Linked DNA regions of Drosophila melanogaster. The gene in region 1 interacts genetically with each later gene. Each region holds a gene or a part of one and is shown in the gene's direction. Other genes may lie near its edges.

Region 1 (5,015 bases):
GAAAATAATGTTACATTGACTTACTTTTGCGAAGGCAATTTGTTCTTCCACTTGGGTTACACATGTAAAGGCAAACAAGTGTCCTGACTTATCAATATCCAAGCAATAATGTTCCTTCACAGTGTATGATTCGTTGCCAAATTTGTCGATGATTAATAACGAACCGTCTTGCAGAACAAAGAAAACATCGTCTTTGTCGTCGTACAAAAGAGAACTAATTTTGCAGAAGAATTTGTACTTTGATTCAATTTAACATTCGCTTTCATACCTGTTGCACGGATTTCCAATGTCGTAGTCGAGCGTAGTCTCAACCTCCAAATCTTCAATGCAGTTATCGAACAGAACTGCACTTATTATAGTCGGTTCGAAGCTTAAGAGCCCGTTGTCGCACATCGAATCGCTTTGATTTTCCCGATATATATTTAAGTTTTCTCCATGTGGGCAGCATTTTCTTAAACGAGACGATGGTGTTGCAACTGGTTGCTTTCTGTACTTTTCCCGTTGAGAACAGTCCGCCGGATCTAACGGGTTGTCTACAGGACTTTGAACAGGAACAGAGGTTGCGAACCTAGCACCTGATATTGTTGCAGCTTCTGTCGAATATGTTTGAGGTACAACCAGTGTTGAATGTATTGAGGCGTCCAGAACGTCAATCGAAGTGCTATTGAATGTGTCTTCATGGAAAATACTAAGCAAAGCAAAATATATTATAGAAAATGCAAAGATTCCAAAATTAGTATTTTTCGAAAACAAATATTTTGAGTATTTCTTACTTTGAGTTGTTTGATCCCTTCGAACTGTTATTTACAGTGCTTATCTGTGCGGAGGCGTTAAAAAACGTTTGTAAACTGATTAGAGCTAGGAGAAAATTCCAGTGGCCTAGATTCATATTGCCTTTTCAACCAATCTACAAAAAATATATAGCATAAAATGAATAAAACAAAATTGCCGAGTTCGTTTACACAGAAAGTATGTAAACAAACCAAATTTTGACATTAGTTAGGTGGTGTGGGAACTGGTAAGATATGGGCTATCTTATCTGTGTAAGATACCAGTAGAGTGCGTTATCATAATATAACACATGACGTCAGACGAATGTGGTAGCACATTCCTTAGAATTGATCAATACTCGGAAAATTACACTCATCAACTTATACAAAACCGCGTTAAATGTCAATTTTTGCGCACTGATTATTTGATTAGATCATATTTTATTCAATTATTGTATTTTTAAAAATAAACTATTTATGGCAATTATTGTTTACGTACATGTCAAATAATTTATGCTTGCTATTTAAAATGCAACCACTGAGCTTGATTAATAAAGTAATACTAGCGAAAAAGAAGTTTTAATTCTGCAATGGAATCACTTTGTGCAGGCGATAAGATAACGATGTTTTCAGGGCTTCAAAGCAAATTGTTTACCCTAATTTCTTTAACAATAACACATTTCTCAACAAACACAATTAAAATACTTTAATTTAGTATTTTTAGAATAATTTTTTAAAAAATTTAAGTAATAATAATATAAAAACCTTTCCCAGTAAACAAAAAATCGTAACGGCAACTTATTATCGATAACATTTTTAATGGATTTTTCGTGGTCGGCAATTTACGAAATGAGATCACCAGGATTTAAAATGCGAAATTGGGTAGAATGTAATACACTAAAATAAATTTACAAAAAAATACATTTTTTTTACCGCATCAAAAATACCGTTTTAATTTTTAAGATAGTGAGCAAAGGTAAGTTTATTTTGATTACAAGTTAACGGGTTTTCTTTAAACGCCCGCTCAACACGTCGATAAAAATAAAAATACATCTGTCAGTGCGGTTCAGCGTAAATGCCAAAAGCAACCCTGCCTATATCGTTTGTGCAACCATAAAGAATTAGTTCTCCAAGCCGACCGCAAGAGGACGCTTCTGACTTCACGCAATAGAAGAGTCGCTGTGATTGGCCGACTGTACACCGTCTTTAGCTATGTTCAAAACTGTAATGTTAGGTAAAAGTCTCTTTCGCAGTGTGCTGAAGATAGTTAAAAATATTAGAATATATCGTGTTAAATCCTGTGCAATTATTCCGCAACATGCTGGGTAATTTGCGCAGTTAATCCATGTGTTAATTGTGAAAGAAGAGTGACATTTAAACAGACGCAAAAATTTTCACGGTTGCTTAAATGGCGGACAATGTGCGTTGGCTTCATTTCATCGCACTCGCACACATACAATCGAACTTGGTGGTGCTGTCCAGTGCGTTTGCCGTCCAACACTAGAAGCCAAGAATGTGTTTTGAATACATGTACTTAATGTATTTAATCGGAACCGTTATTCTGAACTAAACAAGCTCTTTTGGCGGGTTTTTTTCAACTCCAAATTTGCGCAATACAAAGAAAGTGAACACCCAACGACAAACTTTTGACGATCTGATCGATTTTTCCCCCACATACGCTGTTGAGTAAATGTGTGTTTGAATGTGCCCCGTAAATACATAGCTAGCTGAGTGCGAGTGAGATGCGGTGTGCGTTCCTGTGGCACCGTGTACTAATGGGTTAATTTTCGTTTCAGATCTAATGTGCAGCCTCGCAGCATTAACTTGGAACAATATCTGAGGAGAGTACCCCCACGCACCCCTGCACACAGCCAGATAAATACGCAAGGCGAAAACAAACAAGATGAGCGGTCGCGGCAGCCGTAAACGTGGACGTCCGCCAAAGACGCCCAACGAACGCGCATCAGGACGCTTCAATTACCAGCTTCTCAAGAAGCCGAAGTATCTCAGCGAGGGAAAGTCGCAGCCCAGCACTCCGTCGGCATCCAGGGGCATTTCTCCACAGAGCGACGAGGGCAGCAGGAGCAGCCACAACAACCACACCAATCGCAGTCGCGGGAGCGCCGCTAAGAGGGGACGAGGCCGCAAATCCGCCGTGCAACCGAACACCAGTAGCTACTCTGGAAGGAAAGGTGGGTTAAAGGGGCACCTAAACTCTAACTTGGGAGTCAAGACTTACAGTTTCGCTCTGACTAGTTCGAAGATTAATAGGGAACATAATGTGCCATATATTGATTGCAGTGGAGAAAACTTTGATCGTTTTGAATGGTACTCATACTTCAAACGAGTTTTCCTGTGCGTTAAAGAGCTTCCGCTTCATAAAAGATCAAATTTAATATTTTCGTGACAACCACTACCGGGCGAGTCAGTTTCGATAGGTCTATCTGCTCTAATACCAACGATTATTTTTGAAATCTTACGACAAAAAATCTTTCAGTCTAGTTGGCATGAGTTTAATAACAATTACTTAAATACAATTCAGTAGAAATTGGGTCCACAATAGCAGTGACAGTATGTCAGGTTTTATGCACTTAGGTGTTGGTGAAATCATATTGGTTCTAAGAGCTACTGTTCCTCTTTTCAGGGTACGAGTCGGAGTATCACTACGGGTCAGATTTTGGGGATTCCGAAGAAGATAAATCCGATAATGAGGATGATATGCTGCTTACTCCCAGCGACGACGAGAGCCTAGAAGTAGCCAACGAGAGCGAATCAGAGTTTTCCGTGTGCAGCTTTAACCAAAATGGAGTTGGTCGGCCGCCACGTCCTCCTAGCCCAGAACCTGTGTGGCTGCAGGAAGGTCGTCAGTATGCAGCGCTTGATTTGCCGGACTCGTCGGAGGATCTTTTCATTGCTAATACACACGTTTTGCGCGCGCTAAGTATCTATGAAGTACTGCGACGATTTCGCCACATGGTCCGCCTTTCACCATTCCGATTTGAAGACTTGTGTGCAGCGCTGGCTTGTGAGGAGCAAAGTGCATTATTGACGGAGGTACACATAATGCTGCTTAAAGCGATTCTTCGAGAAGAGGACGCGCAGGGTACACATTTTGGCCCGCTGGATCAAAAAGATACGGTTAATATAAGTCTTTACCTGATTGACTCTATAACGTGGCCGGAAGTTTTGCGAAGCTATGTAGAAAGCGATAAGACATTTGATCGCAACGTGTTTCACATTTTAAGCCACACTGAATACCCTTACACGGGCATTGACAACCGGCTTGAAGTGCTCCAGTTTCTGTCAGATCAATTTTTAACTTCCAATTCTATACGAGATGTAATGCTGCAGGAGGGACCTATTCATTATGATGACCATTGCCGAGTGTGCCATCGGCTCGGTGATTTATTATGTTGCGAGACGTGCCCTGCTGTCTATCATTTGGAATGTGTAGACCCGCCAATGAATGACGTACCTACTGAGGATTGGCAGTGCGGGCTTTGCCGCTCGCATAAGGTAAGTGGCGTAGTGGACTGCGTGTTGCCACAAGAAAAACAAGGCGTGCTAATCCGGCATGATAGCCTCGGTGTTGATCGTCATGGGCGCAAATATTGGTTTATTGCACGTCGCATTTTTATCGAGGATCAGGAGAACTTTACATGCTGGTATTACAGTACGACAAGTAAGTTAAAATTGCTGCTCAGTCGACTGGACGCCGAAGAACTGGAAACTCGTCTGCATAGCCAGATTACAGAAAGGAGAGACGAAATCGAGCGCCAAATGAAACTGACTGAGACCTTAACCAATGAACACAAACACACGAAGCGTAGTGTTATCGAAATCGAACAAGAGGCTAAAAATGAACTTTTGGAGAAAGAGGTGCTTGACGAGGATGAAAAAGATGGTGATGCTAAATCTGAGAGTCAATCTATAGAGGGAACAAAAAAACAAGAAGAATGTAAAATGGTCACGCGTCAAAAATCCAATCAGCTGACTAATGGTACTTTGCATTTTAAACTTGGCATGGAGCAAGGATTTAAGAACTATGTCAACCAGTATTCAACAAATCCAATTGCACTCAACAAGCCGCAACGAAACGAGGAGCGAGATAAGCGACGCCATCTGTCCCATAAGTTCTCGTTAACGACGGCTTCTGACTTTAAATGGATCGGTATAACCATGGGAACTACTGACAATATGATAACAACTCTAAGGCAAACATTGATAAACTTCGAATCCAATATA
Region 2 (7,626 bases), on another chromosome or scaffold:
ACTAGTTCTAGTTGGGATCAGTGTGACCAGAGGCGCGCTGCGTGTGCAGCCCAATCAGAAGTCCTGGGCAAACGTTCAAAGCGAGCGCGGGAAATAGGTCCGCAAGCATTGCAAGTATTACCTTTGGATTTAGCAGAAATGCATTAATATTACATTTAGTATTACATTTTATACAGGAAATGGCAGCTACATTTGTGTGTTCAAAGTTGCGTAAATATGAATTCCAATTGGAAAGTTGCCGATAGGTACTTATCGAGTGGAAGCACTATACTATCGATATGGAATAACTTTATTTATTCTAATAAACATTTAAGGAACACCTACTATTTCATTCTAAGCCCCTTTCCAGCCTAATTAAATTTAAATGTATGTTGAAATGATCCAATTTCAATTCTATTTTCCTTTCTGCATAATATTAAGCCATCTATCAACAATATTTCATCATTATAAAAGAAGAGATTAAAACTATCCAAGCAAAGGATTACAACACAATGCATTTTAAACGTACGAAACGAAAGATGTATTTATTTTCGGTACGCTAACGTAGGGCCGACCAAACAATTGAGTTGCGCTACCGAATTAAATATTAATTCCGGAACTCGAATCACGGATTTCAATTTCGGGCTGGGTGCAGACTACGGGCCACATACTTTGGATGTCGGCGGCGAAACGCAGCGCGGAAAAAAATGTGCTTACATGATAATTTTTTGTTTAAAAATAGATTTAACAGTAGGACAGTGACGGAAGCGTCCACGGACTCGGATACCCAGATCCCGGTGTCGGTGTCGATTAAGCGAACAAATCTACAGGTCGCCGCCACCTCGCTTTTGGAGCATCTGAGCGAACCGCTGGGTGATAAGCAGCGACGTGTCGATGAATCGGTCGACGCAGTTGCTCAGGCACGTCTCGGTGGCGTGGTCCAGCTTGGTACTCGGCTTGCCGATGCACTTCTCCCAGCAGATCTCGTTGAACTCGTGTATCTGGCGACGATATAATGTGCGAGGGCATATTGTTATGATTACGAATGGTTATTATGTGTATGGGGGAACCCGGCTCACCTGCGCGTTGACCTGTGCCTTCTGTTTCTCAATCAAGAGGAACTCCTGCAGCTCCTTGTCATTGCCGGAAAGGTTCTCAAAATCGGACATCGTGTGATTTTCAGTGAGCAATCTACAAATTGACCGGGCTCGTCCGGAATTTCATATATTCTAAGGTTTGAGGTTATATAAACGACACTGACAGCTGTGAACTGTGGAATTACAAAAATCGATGTGTATTCGATAGCAAAGCTATTCGATACTGGAAATGCCGTGCATATTGCACTGTTTGCACTGTTGTCATATTTAAATGGCAAGAATATAGACGCCATAGAGCAAATAACAGTATATTTTTTTTTCTTAAGCATCCTCCTCCTGCCAACGAGGGTATACAATTTTCAAGAATACATTTCTAAAGTAAGTTGTTATTTATATTTACTGAGAACTATCGAAAAAGAACTAGAACCTCGCGTTGCCAACCACTGGTTCGCAAGGTGCGATAGTACAGGTTATTGGACAATCGATGACAAAGTGGCTCGGCCGTCGGCCAATCGATATCGTGAGGTGCAAATTGTCCGATGAATTTCACTGAAATTCGTGGCTTGTATTGTAGCTTCGCAATTGCAGCTTCGTTTCGACAGCAGGCCCACTTTCAGATCGAAGGCGTCTATAATCGCCATCCAGTCCCGTCGCCCTGTTCCCACAACGCCCCACAAATTTCGGGATCTAGCTGGCGTTTCGGGTGTCTAATTTCGGACCAGTGCACTGTGATTTCCGATTTCCAGTTTACTTTGCTGACGGATCGCCCAAGTGGCGAAGTGGTTCTTGCTCGGAAAGTTGGCGCTTGCTAAAAGAAGGAGCAGTCCAGGTGGTTCCCCGCCAGTGGCATCAATGGAACTCGCGCTGGAGTTTGGGGCAACCTTGCAACTGCAAGGGTAAGAGCATCGCCGATTCCAGGAGCATTCGCAGTAAGCCCAAAAATAGCAACTCAAGTCAGTCGCGGTGGTCATTGTTATTGGCAAGAAGAAGAGGAAACGGATAGAACGCGGCAAATTCCTAGGAAAGCTCCCATGATCTAGCTTCAGTGCGGCCGCGTAAGGAAACTGCTCCAGCCAAGGAACTGGGCTTGCAGGAGCAGCAGATAGCACCCAGCCCACAAGGGACCACTCACCGACAATCCTCTCATGGCCCTGGCCAACGGGGGAGAGGATAGAATGGACGACAGCAGCAGCGGACGCACTTCGCTGGCGGACAGCGCCAGCCTGACGAACTCCTCGCTGCGCAGCGGCACCTCCTCGCAGAGCATCCACACCAACGATGGCACAATCCGTGTGTTCAACTTCACCACCGGCGAATTTGAGCGTTTCCATCCCAACATGCTGTGCGAGGAGATCTGCAATACGATGTGCCGCCAGCTGGGCATTGCACCAATTGCCCAGCTGCTCTACGGAATACGGGAGCACTCGACATCGCGACGTCCCTCGCCGCTGGTGCGTTTGGATCTGACGTGGTGCCTGCCCGGCGAGCGACTCAACTGCCAGCTGGTCTATTGCTTTCGGATGCGTTTCCGTGTGCCCGAATTGGATAGCCAGCTGGAGTTGATCGATGGACGGAGCCACAAGTTCCTCTACCGCCAAATGCGCTACGATATGCGGACCGAGCAAATCCCGGAGATTCGCTATCCGGAGCACAAGGACAAATCAACGGGACTGGCCGTGATGGATATGCTAATCGACGATCAGGAACAGTCGGAGGATCAGCAGGCGATGCGCTCCATCGAGAAGCTTTACAAACTGTATTTGCCACCGAGCTTGTGGCGCGCCCACAGCTTCTTTGTGGGCTCCAAGATACGTGAGGTTTTCCGCAGTCTAAAAGCGAATTCGCTGAGTGTGGAGCGTTTGAAGTGGCACTATGTGCATCAGGTATCCCATTTGGCGCCCACCTATATGACCGAACAGTTCACCTGCACCGTTCAGTATCTGCCCAACGAGGAGGTGGCCCGCGGTAGCGGACCCATCGGCACCAGTCTGGCCCACTCGACGTCGACGCTGGCCAGTTCTGGATCGACCAACACTCTGTCCACGCTCACCACCAACACCAATTCCGTTGCACTCGGCGGCAGTGGCAAGAAGGCCAAACGACGTTCCACCAGCGGTGGAATCGATGTCTATGTGCGAGTCTTTCCACACGATTCCCTGGAGCCTGGACTCAAGGTGGCCAGGGTCACCTCCGAGGCCACACTCAAGGTACACACTATGTTTCCTTCTGAAATCTTATATGGTTTCTTGTGGTTTTCCCATCGAAATGCGCATTTTAATGCTGGCCATTTTAAATATGGAAATACCATTAATATTATAATATTTAAAAAACATTTTGATAGATTTCTCAATTTAATTAACGCGATTGTCTTGGTAATCAAGTTGCTTATCGCTGGCAAAGATTCTTGAAATATTCATACATACATACCATATGTAATTGCACTAGCATCCCATTGATAATCCTCATTTCCTCTGCAGTGGATCCTTGTTGGCGCCGTGGAAGGAATTTTTATGATCTCCAAAATCAACGACACCTCTGTGCGGCTGGAAATCGTTGGTCTGCCCAAGGGCTACGAGATGCAGTTTCAGACGGAGAAGGAGATGAAGTCCTTCATCTCCTACCTGGGTATCTACATCAGGTGAGTGGTTCACTTGTAATCGGTGAGCTTTAGATCCCAAAGAGTTCGCTTCCAACTAAATTTTAATCTTTTAAGCCGAACTTGCTTGGTCTTTTTTTCACCAGAATTTATAGGCATCTCATTGTAGTGTTCGTGTAACAATAATCAGTGCCCAATGTTCTTAATCAAACTACTCAATTGTTTTTTTTAACATCCATTGATTTAAAAAAAAAAACATCAAGTCATCAATTCCACGAACTCATTTAATAACATAATAATTCCACTTAAAAGTTAATGATTCCCACATAAATATGACATTTGATAACACGATTAAATACAGTGCTTGAAATGCTTGCTTTTTTGTTTAAAGAGTTTGTTAAAACCAAGTCCCTGTTTGTTTTGTAATCCAACACACAAAGTCGGTTTTCGTTATCAGGCTAAAATTAAAACAAGCAAGAAATTTAAAACTAAATGCTTTCAGAAGATTTCTTCAGTTAAATTGATTAAATAATTACGCACTAATCGGTTTTAAATGTTACATTGCTATTTATATCGCCTGCGTCAATGTGCAGTACTTCTCAATAACTCAATAAAGTTATATGTACGTAATTGAAACAATTGATTCCCAGCTATAGAATCACTTTTCAAATGCAATAATAATAATAATAATAATAATAATAACAATGCCAATGGACAGCAACAAATGTGCGCAACTTATAACTCGTATTTGCCATCCGTTTATTCCTTGCAGATTGTCGAGCAAATGGATGCAGGATCTGTGCCATTCGTACCGCACGCCCTCCCTGGAGGAGCTGAGCTCCCTCCACTGCCATGGTCCAATCGGCGGTGCCTACTCGCTGATGAAGCTGCACGAGAACGGTGACAAGTGCGGCAGCTATATTGTGCGTGAATGCGATCGAGAATACAACATATACTACATCGATATCAACACCAAAATGTGAGTACATGCGCGCCTTCACACAGTTATCAGTTACTTCCTCCTCGCTGGTTATCAGGCTTACAAACATTTCTGTATGCAATGCCACATGATACACAAAAATGCTGTGTGCGCTATGTGGCCAATTGTTTCGCTTACTGATGATTGCCTGTGTGTGTGTGTGATTGATGATGCCCAAATTAGATGTGATCGGTTTTATCTCATGCGAAAATCCCGCTCACCTTTGCAGCATGGCCAAGAAAACCGATCAGGAACGCTGCAAGACGGAGACATTTAGGATCGTGCGCAAGGACTCGCAATGGAAGCTAAGCTACAACAACGGCGAGCATGTACTAAACTCACTGCACGAAGTGGCGCACATCATTCAAGCGGATAGTCCCGATCGCTATCGCATACCCGCCTCCAAATATGACAAGCCGCCGCTGCTGCTACTGCTGCTGCCAAAGAACCTCAAGGCCAAAAAGACTGACCTCCAGCTGAGCGAGGCGGAGCTGCAGCGCCGCAATCCGCAGATCTTCAATCCCCGAACGGATCTGCAGTGGTATCCAGGTGGGTCATACTATATATTCTAATGCCTTGCTTCGTTCTAATCGCTCGTCTTTTGCGCAGATTCGATATCGCTTAGCGACGATGGCATGATGTTTACGATGCGCGGCGATTGGATCCAACAGAGTCCCGTCAAGGATGTGTCCGTGACGATGAAAATGCTAAAGAGCGATGGCAATTTCATGGAGTTCTTTCGCTTGGCACAGACCTGGAGCCTCATCCAGTCGCCGCAGTTCCTCAAGCTGTACGGCCTAACGCTCGCCGATCCGTACACAATGGTCATGGAGTATTCGCGGTATGGTCCGCTCAATAAGTTCCTGCACTCGATGCCCAATGTAACACTGCATTGTCTACTGGATCTGATGCATGGATTGGTGCGCGGCATGCACTATTTGGAGGACAACAAGATTATCCACAATTACATACGATGCAGTAATCTGTACGTGACCAAGTACGATCCGAATTCGTACGTGCTAGACGCGAAAATTAGCGATCCCGGCTATCCGCGTCCCTACCGAGAATCCGAGTGAGTAGCCGACAAATACAACTTAATCATCTTCTCGGTTGGGTCATACTCTTTGATAAAACAAAAAAAAAGCAAACAGCATTTTAAATAACATCATTCATTCTCCACTTTCAGCTCGCCATGGATACCTGTTAAGTATTATCGCAATTTGCAAGCAGCCAAAACGGATCAGTTTGCCCAGCTGTGGGCCTTCGCTACCACCATATACGAGATCTTCTCGCGCTGCAAGGAAGATCTGAGCACACTGCGCCAGGAGCAGCTACTCAGGCAGAAAAATCTCGATGGCAACATACTCAAGATGCTCGATCAGGACATCTGTCCGGCGCCGATATTCGAGACAATCATGGATGGATGGTCCGATGATGAGACCAAGCGCTTCAGTCACCACGACATTTTCTCGCGTCTCAACACGATCAAGGCGGAAATTCTGCCCAATTATATGCCGCCACCCGAGATCGCAACGAGTAAGTTGAGCAGACGAAAGCAGCGTTACGAGATTGGCATACATTTCATCTTCTATTTTTTTTTCCAGATGGAACTGGAGACGAGACCGTGATCGATAGAAGCGACATACCCTTTCTACCCTTTCCGCGTTCGAATATGTTGATGGTCATACCGCTGACCAGCGAATGTCGAGTGATCTACAACATGGAGAACATGATCGGGCGCGGTCATTATGGCACTGTCTACAAGGGTCATCTGGAGTTCAACGACAAGGATCAGCCGCGCGAGCAGGTTGCCATCAAGATGCTGAACACCATGCAGGTGTCGACCGATTTTCATCGCGAGATCGGCATCATGCGCACCCTCAGTCATCCGAACATAGTCAAGTTCAAGTATTGGGCTGAGAAGTCGCACTGCATCATTATGGAATATCTGCAATCTGGTTCCTTCGACATTTACCTGCGTTTCACGGCACCCAATCTCAATAATCCACGGCTCGTCAGCTTCGCTTTAGATATTGCAAATGTGAGTGGTTCGAATATGGCTTTAGAACGGAACAAGTTTTCCGGAAAAAAGAGGGAAAACTCAAAGAAAAATCTACAAATATTTTAAGGGTTTTTGCATCATAACTTGGCCAAAAGTGGTCAAATTTCGAAGGGAATGACTGTTTTTAAAAGCTTATGATCCCAATTAACAAATCCTATTTCTTTTTTTTTGAATTTGGTGGATTCAAAATTTTTCCATTTTTTTGAATTTTTTACAAGGGGTAACATCATCAAAATTTGCAAAAAATGGCAAAAAATTAAAAGTTCCCATTTTGAACCCCAATCGATTGGGAATTAAATTACGAGCCAAACGAGGTATAACAATCCATATTTGGGCTACTACTACCCAAGATGTGGCCAAAAAACTGCCCATTTTGGACAAAAAACCACAAAAAAGAACTTTGGTATAGAAAACTCATGTTTACGACTTTAGAAGAGATATTTCCTTTTGATCCAGTACTTAATCCAAATGCTTCTCGTCGCAGGGCATGAAATACTTGTCCGACATGGGACTCATCCACCGCGACCTGGCCGCCCGCAACATTTTGGTGGACCACAACGGCGATGGTGACTGCGTCAAAATCTCAGACTTCGGCCTGGCGCAATTCGCCAATTCCGATGGATATTACTATGCGAAAAGCAAGCGTGATATTCCCATTAGATGGTAAGAAAAAAAGAAGATGGATTGACGGTAGGCCACTATCGCAACTGAATATCTTTGCTTTCCATTGGTCAGGTACTCTCCGGAGGCCATCTCCACCTGCAGATTCTCATCGTATTCGGATGTTTGGAGCTATGGCGTGACGCTCTTCGAAATGTTTTCGCGCGGCGAGGAGCCCAATTTGGTGCCGATCCAGACATCGCAGGAGGATTTCCTCAATCGCCTTCAGAGCGGCGAACGGTGAGTTATCGTG
Region 3 (4,864 bases), on another chromosome or scaffold:
ATACATGTTGCACCCATACTCTAAGCAATTGCTCCAGTGTACTACTGAACTGAGAGTCGTTTGGCAGTCGGCCAAGAGGGAAAAGGATAGTGGAGGAGAGGGGAACGAGACGTGTGGAGGAGTGGAGAATGTGGGGAAGGACGAAAGAGAAGAAAATCATCATAGACGCAGTTATGGGTTGCAGCTGTGTTTGTATTGGTATACCCAAACAAATAGAAGTAGAGAAACATAGGAAGAGATAGAGAGAGGCAAAGTCTCTTTCACGCCCCCGACACCAAGCCGCTGCCGTCCCCACTACTCAGCTGTCATTGTTGATATTTTGTGTTTTCATCTTGAACTTTTGTGGTTCAATGTGTCTAGCCAACCCCAAACAGAGCGAAACTCACCACATGCTAACCACTGTCACCGTCAGTACGACCACCCCCACAGTCCCGCACCACCTTGCCCTTGCATTTTGCCGGCTTTTCTATGCGTATGCGTAGAGAGCGAGGTCGTCTCTCTCGCTCTGGCAAATGCAATTCTCTATTGCATTCTACACTTGAACTTGCCCAGCGTCAACTCAACGCACACAGCGACGTTAAGTAAATACGTAGCGATTCGAATGATGGGGCTGGTGGTGGGGGGAAGGGATGGGCAAACAATTATCTGCAGCGATGTGTGCGTATCTGTATCTGAGTATCTCAGCTCGCTTTGCGCTGACTTTTTAACCACAATGTATTCGAAACGTGCAATTTATACGTCGCCCAGCAGACGGCGGTGATACGTGTATGTGTATGTATACATACGTACATACTCATAGATACTGTTGTGGCTGTTAGTTTGATCTGCGTTCTGTTTACCCTCCTGGTGATCTTTTTCCTTTCCGTCAATTACGTCTCGTAGTGTCAATATTCTGCTTCAAACAGCGGTGTCTACTGACTTCAGGTGGATTTCCCTTCCAACGAATGGAAAACAGTCCTTCGGAGGACTCTCTATGGTTTTCTAACTCGATCTTATTTATTATTCATTCAGCTGACGTGAGAAAGTATTTTTGGCCACATGAAACGTTTTCATTGTTTTCTTGTTGAGATATTTGCTACATATATGTATTCAAATAATAAAGTTTAAAGGGACACTGAAAAATGCAATTGATGTTAGAGATTATTGAAAATAAAACTTGGAATGTATCGAAAAGGTGAAGTAGAGAGACTGTAATTTAAGCTAAATATTTCAACTTATCCTACTTTTAATTATTGCAAGTTGTGGCACTCCTTCCGATTTATTATGGACCCTTTCGTCCCACTATGCGAGAATATTTCAAATGTACGTACATACGTGTGAATTTGCACTTGTGCACCCGAAAGTAGCGATGAACGAAAACGAACGAAAAAAAAAAACAATAAATAAATGTAGAAAACCGAAAATAAAGCAGCAAGAAATGAAAGCGATGATGGCACTCATACTCACGCATACACGGCCATATACGCTCGCACACAACTCACAGATACGTGCCGGAGAGCGGACAAAGAGTATTCCACGATTGCAATTGCATCGGCATTTTCATTCAAGCCGCTTGCTCAGAGTGTGTGTCTGTGGCTGTGTGAGTGAGTGCTGCCTGCGTTTCACATTTATCTTTAGCGCCGATTCCGCTTTTAACTCTCGCTCTTTTAGCGCCATGGTGTGCGTGTCTGGTGAGTTTACTTTGGTGTGCGTGCCAGTGTGGTGAGTTTGAGCGTTTAACATTCTGCTCGTCTCGCTCATTGATTTAGTATTTTTTTGGACTTTGTTGTTAACGGTTGTTCGCTCGCACGTACGAAGCCCGATCGCGTTCGTCAAAAAACAAGATACAAAATACAGCACACACAATTGAAAACGACAACCTAACAGTACGGTTTCCCAAAGCACCTTACATTTCAAAACCGAAAACCCCCAAAATGTTGTAACCAAATAATGTTTAAATCACATATACACCTACATATATTTATGAAAAATTGTTAGACAAATCCCAAATAATACCAGTTCCCCCAACAACCGCAACAAACACAAGTGCAATTCATCGGCAAAAATTAATATAAAGTGCAAATGCATTGTAGCTGAAACTCAAACAATAGTAAAAATACATACATAAGTGGTGAAGAAGCAAAAGGAAATAGTTCTTAAAATAACGCAAATCGAGAGCATATATTCATATTTGTACAGATATTATATGGCGGCTGCATAGTGCAAACTGCGGCTGAGGGAATACAGCGGTATCGAAATGTAAATAGGAAACAACGAAGCCAGAACTCGAAATCAAACATCAGCAACGTGACACACAGACATAAGACGCCCGTCTAGTCGTGGTCTGTGGAACGCTAGCTCCGCTTTGCCAGGAGCCGGAGACTTTTTCCGCATCCACAATATTACATATGTACATATATCGAAGATAGTGCGCGAGTGAGTGAGGGATTTGTGCCGTGGATCCCGATCCCCTTACATATATATAAAGGTAGTGAAAAGATTTTACTCAACATTCCAAATAGTGCTTTGTCAACTGGAATACCTTTTGTTCAAATACGCAGTGGGCCCATGGATACTTGTGGATTAGTAGCAGAACTGGCGCACTATATCGACGCATATGGTGAGTGTGGGCACCTTGGAATCCAATAGAACCAAGCGCTTTTCCATAACAACATTTTGTGGTCAACTGCTTAACGAAAGATCTGAGTTAGGCAACAAGTTCGCTGTTCGGAGCCGAAAACTATTTTCGATTTGTTCAGGCCCTAATGTGTTTGTCTTGGCGCACTTGTCACTTCGCGTGCGCAAAATCAATTTCCATTTCTTATTCATCCAGCCGAAATGAAAACTACATTACCATTAGATCTTTTCAATGCCAAGATACACAGATCATATGTTCGCATAGCTGAATACATGCTGTACATACAGACATTATGATGTCCCAAAAAGATACACATGCTTGGGATGGGGGTTCGATTGGCAATACATTAATTATGGTCATGACAACTGACAGACGGTCAAGACAGAACGTTGAAAATTGTGTATTTCGCCTGCGTAAACATAATCAAGCCTCTTTCGGGCCACCATAGATCCCCGGTGTAGACGAATATGTGCATGTCGGTCTAGGAAAGCACTCGACTGCGTAATTGGCATGTATTTCCATAAATTCAAGTGGGCATTCAGTGAATTCAGCCAACAGATTTACTCTGATTTTCACATATATTCTGTTGATAAGGTTTAATTCGGTGTAAAACGTATTCGATTTATTAAGTGCCGAAAGAACGCTCAAAAATGATTCGATACAGATTGGGCACTTGAATCGTGTTGGAGAAGGTAAAATTGTGGAACATGTAAATGCTGTTCGTCTGAAGAGACTTCACTTTTTGGATCCAATGACTTCAATTGTTAAATGTTCAATTCTACAATAAATGTGTAGTATTTATTTATCTTATTTTTGGTATATTGTTTAATAGGTACTGCGATATATTATTATACATTATAAGGCGAGTCCTCTTGTGCGCTTGGGCTTCCCTATTTTAAAGCGCCTAATGAGGCATTAGGTAACAGCATTAGGTTTGCGCTTAGGTTCCAGTAAAGTCCCCAACATTAGTTTGACTCTCCCACAATTAATTTGTTCCATCCCCCCGACGACACAGACTTACCGCCACCCGTTGGCCTTCGTTTCCTGGGCGGGTCTGGTTAAACTTTCGACTTCATGGCTCTGTTTTTTGATACCCTTTACTCACACAGCATTTAAGTTCTAACGATGACTGAGCTGTGCAAGTTTATTTTTAGTCTCGGCCAAGTCCAATCTAAAGCTCCTAGAAATTCGAATAAGCTCAAAAGCCCTAAGCTGGGTTTTTAAATGAAATTCCTCTACAGGATGCACATAATTCAGAATTGTAGATTTAGTTTTAAACGTGCTAGCGGGTATCTTTTAGTCGAAGCACTCGACTAAAGATTCTCTTTTCCAACTGCTTTTTGCACATTAAGTTTTTCGCTATTTCTTCTTTGCTACACTTTCTGGACACAAACAAAGAGCACAAAAAAAGTAACTTATATCCTATGGCGTCGACAACTTCGTCTTCGCTGCTGTTGTTTATGTTTTATGGGACATTAAAGTGGCCAAATGGCAAATTTTAATGCGATTTTATGCAAATATATAGACACATGTATGTCTATACATGGGATTCAGTGTTGTGGCTTCGCCCAGGCTGAGAAAACCGAGTTACCAGTGCTTTTATGTCGAACCCTCTATGCATTTTTACAATAGTTTGGGGTTCTTAGCTAAATGACTTTGACATGAAGAAATTATACAAGCAAATGGAAACGATCAAAAGATCTGCTTAGTGTTCTGAAAGTCCTACCACAGACATAACAACAATTATGACTACCAAATCCGCACGAATTAAAATGACCCTGGATAATCGAAATACCTTATTTTATATCACAACTGTTTCCAAAGTGTCACACACAACCCCCCTTTAAAAAGGTTCAATGTAACCGCGTCTGGGGGCGACGATACTAATGGGTGCAGACCAGTGGGTCACGAGACAGAACACCACTCCGTTCTTCATCCCCTGGATGGAAATGGGGAACGGGAATGGCAGAAATGGCAAACAGGTGCCATTGTATGTGCTCTTGTATCAATTGCATTGAGTGCCTTATCTTGTCAGCCTTTTCTAGCTGGTTTTCCTTCCCGTTCGGTCTGGATGGACCTAATTTGTGTATGTGCGGTTAAGAGTAGCCTGCCATAAAGCAATCGAGCTTGGAATGAGTTGTGCCTTCTCCCCGACGCTCTTGTGGACTTTCACAGACCAGCAACAAAGTCGAGCTGCCAACACTTTCGCAGACAATCGCCAATGACAGAGAGTTTCCATGACTTTCC

Evidence for each region. Genes that interact genetically often act in the same process or in processes that back each other up.
Region 2: of E(bx) (region 1) and hop, changing one enhances a phenotype caused by changing the other (phenotypic enhancement), as found in Drosophila melanogaster (2 studies listed by BioGRID).
Region 3: of E(bx) (region 1) and EcR, changing one enhances a phenotype caused by changing the other (phenotypic enhancement), as found in Drosophila melanogaster (one study listed by BioGRID).

What each region holds. Positions count from the first base shown.
Region 1 is NT_037436.4:243,875-248,889, reverse strand, and holds the start of E(bx) (enhancer of bithorax), read left to right. Parts: upstream 1-1,977; 5' UTR 1,978-2,507; intron 2,508-2,566; 5' UTR 2,567-2,673; coding exon 2,674-2,962; intron 2,963-3,414; coding exon 3,415-5,015. Other genes in the region: mthl14 (methuselah-like 14), read right to left, coding at 25-214, 269-688, 774-889. UniProt on the Drosophila melanogaster protein: Histone-binding component of NURF (nucleosome remodeling factor), a complex which catalyzes ATP-dependent nucleosome sliding and facilitates transcription of chromatin.
Region 2 is NC_004354.4:11,362,058-11,369,683, reverse strand, and holds the start of hop (hopscotch), read left to right. Parts: upstream 1-1,585; 5' UTR 1,586-2,221; coding exon 2,222-3,283; intron 3,284-3,553; coding exon 3,554-3,714; intron 3,715-4,444; coding exon 4,445-4,651; intron 4,652-4,880; coding exon 4,881-5,200; intron 5,201-5,260; coding exon 5,261-5,723; intron 5,724-5,837; coding exon 5,838-6,187; intron 6,188-6,255; coding exon 6,256-6,692; intron 6,693-7,197; coding exon 7,198-7,376; intron 7,377-7,448; coding exon 7,449-7,613; intron 7,614-7,626. Other genes in the region: Tim8, read right to left, coding at 804-980, 1,059-1,148. UniProt on the Drosophila melanogaster protein: Tyrosine kinase of the non-receptor type, phosphorylates the marelle protein. Required maternally for the establishment of the normal array of embryonic segments: involved in the control of pair-rule gene transcription in a stripe-specific manner.
Region 3 is NT_033778.4:6,128,801-6,133,664, reverse strand, and holds the start of EcR (ecdysone receptor), read left to right. Parts: upstream 1-1,823; 5' UTR 1,824-2,547; coding exon of another isoform or gene 2,548-2,599; intron 2,600-4,864. UniProt on the Drosophila melanogaster protein: Receptor for ecdysone. Binds to ecdysone response elements (ECRES) following ecdysone-binding, and recruitment of a complex containing the histone methyltransferase trr, leads to activate transcription of target genes.